2 linked regions of the Saccharomyces cerevisiae S288C genome follow. The protein of the gene in region 2 binds, or shares a complex with, the protein of the main gene of each other region. Each region holds a gene or a part of one and is shown on either strand. Other genes may lie near its edges. A codon is read from its position in the direction of its gene.

Evidence for each region. The genes of interacting proteins can lie anywhere in the genome.
Region 1: the proteins of ASK1 (region 2) and DAD2 are in contact, whole or in part, in a cryo-EM structure (PDB 8Q84), measured with the Saccharomyces cerevisiae proteins. Residues at the interface, in NP_012872.2 of Saccharomyces cerevisiae: Lys6 (codon at 2,224), Glu7 (codon at 2,227), Thr9 (codon at 2,233), Leu10 (codon at 2,236), Leu13 (codon at 2,245), Asp14 (codon at 2,248), Glu16 (codon at 2,254), Ile17 (codon at 2,257), Asn20 (codon at 2,266), Leu21 (codon at 2,269), Lys23 (codon at 2,275), Ile24 (codon at 2,278), Asn27 (codon at 2,287), Leu28 (codon at 2,290), Phe30 (codon at 2,296), Cys31 (codon at 2,299), Lys34 (codon at 2,308), Ile35 (codon at 2,311), Asp38 (codon at 2,320), Ile39 (codon at 2,323), His42 (codon at 2,332), Tyr46 (codon at 2,344), Ile49 (codon at 2,353), Arg52 (codon at 2,362), Ile53 (codon at 2,365), Ser56 (codon at 2,374), Thr57 (codon at 2,377), Trp59 (codon at 2,383); in NP_013009.1 of Saccharomyces cerevisiae: Ile4 (codon at 893), Asp5 (codon at 890), Ile8 (codon at 881), Lys11 (codon at 872), Arg12 (codon at 869), Glu14 (codon at 863), Leu15 (codon at 860), Leu18 (codon at 851), Gln19 (codon at 848), Ile21 (codon at 842), Thr22 (codon at 839), Thr25 (codon at 830), Asp26 (codon at 827), Leu28 (codon at 821), Lys29 (codon at 818), Leu32 (codon at 809), Thr33 (codon at 806), Leu35 (codon at 800), Asn36 (codon at 797), Ile39 (codon at 788), Lys40 (codon at 785), Met42 (codon at 779), Gly43 (codon at 776), Ala46 (codon at 767), Asp47 (codon at 764), Val49 (codon at 758), Ala50 (codon at 755), Met53 (codon at 746), Asn54 (codon at 743), Trp56 (codon at 737).

What each region holds. Positions count from the first base shown.
Region 1 is NC_001143.9:595,921-598,706, forward strand, and holds DAD2 (Dad2p), read right to left. Parts: upstream 903-2,786; coding exon 501-902; downstream 1-500. Other genes in the region: NUP133 (Nup133p), read left to right, coding at 1-378; ribosome dissociation factor GTPase HBS1, read right to left, coding at 1,135-2,786. UniProt on the Saccharomyces cerevisiae protein: Component of the DASH complex that connects microtubules with kinetochores and couples microtubule depolymerisation to chromosome movement; it is involved in retrieving kinetochores to the spindle poles before their re-orientation on the spindle in early mitosis and allows microtubule depolymerization to pull chromosomes apart and resist detachment during anaphase.
Region 2 is NC_001143.9:338,804-342,754, reverse strand, and holds ASK1 (Ask1p), read left to right. Parts: upstream 1-2,208; coding exon 2,209-3,087; downstream 3,088-3,951. Other genes in the region: SFK1 (Sfk1p), read right to left, coding at 382-1,443; MDM35 (Mdm35p), read left to right, coding at 3,313-3,573. UniProt on the Saccharomyces cerevisiae protein: Component of the DASH complex that connects microtubules with kinetochores and couples microtubule depolymerisation to chromosome movement; it is involved in retrieving kinetochores to the spindle poles before their re-orientation on the spindle in early mitosis and allows microtubule depolymerization to pull chromosomes apart and resist detachment during anaphase.

The DNA.
Region 1 (2,786 bases), 260 kb from region 2:
GTTAAAAAGTTCTTGAATGCTTTGGTATGGAGAAGAATCGTTCTACTAAATGCTAGTAATGAAGGAGATAAACTGCTTCAGCATATAGTCAAACGTGTTTTTGATGAAGAACTACCCAAAAATAATGATTTCCCCTTGCCCAGTGTGGATCTTTTATGTGACAAATCGTTACTGACGCCAGAATACATAAGCGAAACATATGGCAGGTTTCCTATTGATCAGAATGCCATACGTGAAGAGATATATGAAGAAATATCTCAAGTGGAAACGTTGAACTCAGACAACTCACTCGAGATAAAGTTGCACTCGACTATTGGTTCTGTAGCGAAAGAAAAAAACTATACCATCAACTATGAAACCAACACTGTAGAATACTAATATCTATAATACAATTTTACATATATATAATAAACTTTACTGGGGAATGATAATAATAAATATGTATATGCTATTATCGCAACTGCCTTCTTCCGATTTATATAAGATCCTTTTCTTTCTGTTCATTCGTTACCATCTACCCTAATTCTGACCATTGTTTCCGGCAAGGGTACCAGATCTTCATCCTCATCATTATCTTCATCATTCTTATCATTTTCTTGCGCTTCAAGACCTGTTTCATTTGATTGTTCAGATTCCTTTTTCTTAGAATCTTTCCACGGTCCTATCTCATAATCACCCTCTGCATATTGCAATAATCCCAAACTTGCTTGCGATATATTGTTTATTATAGAATCCCAATTGTTCATCAATTGGGCCACTGAATCCGCATTCATTCCCATTTCTTTGATCTGCTCATTCAACTCTGTTAGCTGAATTTTTAAGCCATCCGTTAAACTGGTTATCTTTTGTAATGACTGAAGTTCTTTTCGCTTTATAGCAATTTGTTCATCTATTGAATCCATAATAACTGTCTGAATTATGAGTTTTTCAAACCTATTCAATAGTTTTTTAGATATATTCAGAGGCAGGTATTCTTTTGTATTGTCGCCCTCTAACCTTTTGTAAGTACTTTCATATTTTTATTTTCGCGTTACACTAAATTCAAATATTAAAAAAGGATCGCTATTAATGTGTAGAAATTGAAAAAATTACATACAGAAGCGTATAAAATTCTTATCATCTATTTTCACCCTTCTACTGAGTTATTTCGGATATTTTACCTGCCGCAATGGTTCTACCGTCCTTTCTAAGAACAACTCTTCCCAAACGGTCATTTTCATGGGCAGTTAATAAAGGAATCCACCTCTTTACTTCAATTAGTTCTATTTCTACAAATGCTCGTTGTTTAGAGCCTAGATGTCTAATCTTTTTCTTGCTTGCAGTATTGCCCTTGTCTATAAATGAAATCAATCTTTTGATTCGAGCAGGTTGCTCCTTGACTCCGATGAAAAGAATAAACGGTGTTCCTGGCAGCAAAGGTCGGTTCATGTCAAAGGTGGTCAATTCCAGAACAAAACACTGTGCTGAATGAATGGACGAATAATCAACTGATGCTGCCAAATCACCATTTTGAATATCTTCTGGATAGGCTTTGCGCAATTTCAAAGTGACAAAATCACCCTTAATGGCAACATCTGTCTCTTCGTGATTCGTTGATTGGCCCTGTTGAGAACCAACCTGAATTTTATCCACAATACAACTCTGTTCCGACGGATATATTGTCAAAGATTCACCAGGTTGAATAGAACCTGATTCCAATTTTCCTGAAACTAGTGCTAAATCGTTACTTGTTTTTTTCGATGGGATGATCTCCAACACAGAAAACAAAAACGGATCATCTTTGTTAATTCCTTCATTCTCCTTTGAAATCTTGAACGCCGCATTTTCCAAAGTAGACATTAAGTTAGGACCATTGTACCATTGTCTCACTTCATCTGTATATTCAATTTTATAAACACCTTCTCCGGAAAAGCCACTGATAGGTACCCAATTAATATTATCCTCAAAAAACCCAATATCAACCAGATATGGCAACAATTTCGATTTAATCTCTTCAAACCTTTGTTGGGACCAGTCAACATTATCCATCTTATTCATAGCAATAATCAGATTGTGAATTCCAAGACTAGATGCCAGTAGCATATGCTCCTTTGTTTGCCCATCCAAGTCAAATCCTGATTCGAAAGCATTGGTGCTACAGTCTACACAAAGTATAGCCATATCTGCTTGTGATATCCCCATTATAGCGTTTGGAACAAAATCTCTATGGCCTGGCGCATCCACAATAGTAAAATTTGCCCTATGGGTAGAGAAATGCGATGTACAAATTGACACTGTTACACCACGTTCGCGCTCTTCATTTGTCTGATCCATAATCCATGCAAATTTGAAGGATGACTTACCCATAGTTTCACTCTCTCTTTGTAGCTTTCTCAGTTGGGATTGGTTGACAATGTTCAGATCATAAAGTAGTCTGCCCATTAGAGTTGATTTTCCCGCATCAACATGACCAAGAACAACAAAACTTAAGTGAGGTAAGGCAGATTTAACAAATGCAGAAATATCATGAGGTTTCTTTGGTTTCGTTGGCACCGTAGTCTTATAGTATCTTTGAACTGTCTTTTCATCATTGGCTTCCTCACCATTGCGTTCACCCTCACTTTCTTCCTCGTCAAGCCAGTCTGGAAGCCGATCATTTGGCCTTTGTTGCGAAATTGAGATGTTTGCCAGTTTTTGAGTAACATTCGCACTCCCATTAGCAGCAGCAATTGGCTTCTTTGGTGTCTTCTTCTTCTTCAAAGTTTTCTTCAATTCCGCCAGCGTGCTTTCCAAATCGAAATTGTTGT
Region 2 (3,951 bases):
TTTTTTTATTTTTCTGATTAATATTTATTTATTCTAGGTACATCAAGAGCAGAACAAATTTGCCAACTTAAACTACATATGCTGAACAATATTCTCTTTTTAATTTCTAGCTTTTAACGCAATGACCATTGTGGACAATGCGAAATATGTCAAAAAAAAAAGCAGCCAGAAGAAATTCTTCGGCAAAAGGAAAACTACTATACAGATTGAGAAGCATAGAATTAGGTATTAGTTACATCAGTAACGGGGATAACAAAAATAAAAGGGGGAAATGATGACGATGTTCTTGCAAGTTTTATTAAATTGTGCTTTGGAAAGAAAAAGATGAATATATCTTGCAGGTTAGAGGGTATTTCCTAGTCAAGTCTAGCATATATGAGGTCATACGACTACTTGAATAGATTCGTTGGAAGAGGAATTATTGTAAATATTTGAAGATGCTGTTTCTGTGGCAATCACGCCGGCGTTATCGTCCGAAGGCAAAACGTCTTCACTGTGGTAGAGGCCTAGCGCCTTGTCATACTTGTAATAACCCGAAAATGATTCCACGTGGTTGAAATAGCGGGATTGTCTGTATCTTCCACCTAAATAAAAGTCGGCGGAAAGAATCATAAATATGATACCAAACCAAAATGCTAGCAACCATTCGAAACAAGCACTCTTAGATCTATCATTGATAGCACCAAAACAAATGGCCCATACAACTGCGAGAGTTAACCATATAACTTTTAGAGTTGCACTGATGGTAAATTTATTCCATACATGGCCTTTCCATTTATACCAAGGCAGCTCATCCACAGTGTTATAATCTTGGTTAAAGCTTTTTTCAGATGATTGAGGATTGAAATGAGGGCTGGCTAGGGGGTGGACTGAGGCATAGTGCCTTCCCATGAGGAAATACTCTGCAATCAAGCAGCAAGTGGATAGGAACATGAAGACGACGAAAACAGAGACCATAGCAATGTGAACGCGATGGTACAGGGCGGTTGAGAAGATGGAACTGAATAAAAGGGCTAGTTCACCAATGCTGCCGAGAACAAAAGCTGCGAAAATCAGGTTCCGTTCATCCTTTGTGTAATATGGAGGCATTAAGTATTTACCGCTGTGCAATTTCTCAGCATAAGATGTGGAATCAGAGATAGAAGGGTCTTTTTTTTTCAGTTGGAAAGGCAGATAGCCGGATCTTTGAAAAAACTCAAGGGCAACAGTGATTACATAGCCTAGACCCTGCCAGCCGGCGCACGATATAAACAGTGGCCTTAAATTAGTGGCACCTATATCTGAAATGTACACAGGGAATTGCTCCGAGTGCATGAACCAATATATGGGATGGCCTTGACTGGCCCAGCAAATAAGCATGGCTATCAGCATACCATACCATGGAATGAAGGCAATCCAGGGTACTATGAACAGCCAGTTACCTGGACTTTTAAATTGAATCATGCTATTGCTTGTACCTTCTATGTGTTTTTACTATGTAGCAGAACTTTTTACTATGAATGTTAAAAGTATCTAAAGGAAAAAAAATCCCGCAAAAAATTGTGTCTTATTATTTAGGTTTTTAGTTGTCCAGATGTTAAATCAGTAAATCTCAACTTCAGGGAATAACTATATTTATAAACTGAATGCCCCTAAGAAGGAGTGAAAATTCCGGTTTCATTCTCCTTCGCTTAGATGACAAATCTTCCAGGCTGAAAAAAGTTGCTATTTTTCCAGTTTTTTTTTTTCATCCATTTACTTTACTGCCGCGGATCCTTCAATTGAACAGAGCCCTTAAGCCGCAGAGGGGTAAGAGATCTTCGTTTTTGAACAGCCGTGGAAGATGTTTAGAGTTGGATATGGCTGGCAAGACCGTTGTGTTAGTCTTCATTGATAATCTTGGGCCTTATCCCGTCCTACTTGCACTATTATAGTGGAAATGCGATATGTCCGGTGCGTCATAGAGGAACGGAGGCCCTTGCTTGATTAGTAGCTACTCCGATTAAATGCGGTAGTGCCGCGCGGGTAACAGAACAGCGAGTTTTTCCTGTTTTCTTTTCCGTTCTTTTCCGTTTGTTTCCGTTCTTTTCCGTTTTTTTTTTCCGTTTTTTTGGTTTGTTTTGGTGAGCTGAGGCATCAACAAAATAGATATCTACAGTTTGGGGTGGGAATAGAGCCAGGTTGATCAACGTATGGAAAGAGCAACATAAGGGATTGTTGACACAAAAAATGGATTCTGCAAGCAAAGAGGAAACATTGGAAAAACTTGATCAAGAAATTACAGTGAACCTGCAGAAGATAGACTCTAACTTGAGTTTCTGCTTTCATAAGATCACCCAGGACATCATCCCACACGTGGCTACATATTCAGAAATATGTGAGCGGATCATGGATAGCACCGAATGGCTGGGGACTATGTTTCAAGAGACTGGGCTGGTGAATTTGCAGGCAAATGCAGCTGCACCAGTGGGAAACGCTCCAGTCAAAAGCCTTGTGAGCAATAATGTTGGTATATTTCCTACATCCGCTGAAGAGGCGAGTAGGCAGTCCCAGACAGACAATGGGCCTAACGAGGCAGATTCAGCTGTACATGTCAACCGGGATGTCCATTCTATGTTTAATAACGACAGTATAGATGATTTCCACACAGCGAATATAACATCCACGGGACAGATATTGAAACTTCCGGACTCTAGCGACGAAGATACTGGTTCAGAGGCGGTGCCTTCAAGGGAGCAAACAGACCTTACAGGCGAGGGTCATGGTGGAGCTGATGATGAGCAAGATGAAAGTACAATACAGAGACAAAGCCGCAAAAGAAAGATTTCGCTACTTTTGCAGCAGCAGTACGGGTCTAGTTCCAGCATGGTACCGTCTCCGATTGTGCCCAATAAAATGCGGAAGCAACTGGCTCATGAAGAACATATTAATAACGACGGCGATAACGACGATGAGAACAGCAATAATATAGAGAGCTCGCCTCTGAAGCAGGGGCACCACCACCCGAAGGGACAAGCGGATGATAACAACGAAGGGCCCGATGAAGAAGAGAGTACGAAAGAAGTACCAAAGCCTGGGACCATCATTCATTTTTCTACGAATAGATAGAATAAATAAGTACATACAATTTTTACTAGTGATGAATATCAGAACGCAGGGTAATGGGCCCGCTATATTTTTTCTTCGATATAGGGAGAGCCACATTCAGAATATTCAGAGTATTTGCATGTAGAAATTTATTCTAAGTGCGCCAGATATATGCCGGGAGAGGTCATTAGAAAACATCTGTTTGTGTTTTAACTTGAATTACAATAACAATAATACCAGTTTTATATGGGGAATATAATGTCAGCTAGTTTTGCGCCTGAATGCACTGACCTGAAGACGAAATACGATAGTTGTTTTAATGAATGGTATAGCGAAAAATTCCTGAAGGGAAAATCCGTTGAGAACGAGTGCTCAAAACAATGGTACGCTTATACTACATGTGTCAACGCAGCTCTCGTCAAACAAGGTATTAAGCCTGCTCTAGACGAAGCTAGGGAGGAGGCGCCGTTTGAAAATGGCGGCAAACTAAAAGAAGTTGACAAATGAAGTATATATTTTAGCACAGAATGTGCATTATTCAACATGTAAATACTAATACTGCAATATCGACTTATAATAATGTATAGTGATCCGTATATTAATAGATCTGTTTCAATTCTTTACCTTTTTAGGATATCCGTCACCCGTGATTCCGTCGGAGGTGAGCACTCGCCCAAATAAATAACGGGAAATGGTGGCAAAAAGTAGTGGCGGGAAAAGGAAAAATTTTCGTTCTCTCCCATATAAACGTTTCATTCCTTTTCCTAAGTCTTTTACAGTAATTTCAGAAACATTCGTATTTTATATTTGATCTTTTGAAGCTACAAGAAAAACTCTTACCAATTACCCCAAAAAAATCACCATCATAAAGTACTTACATATTTA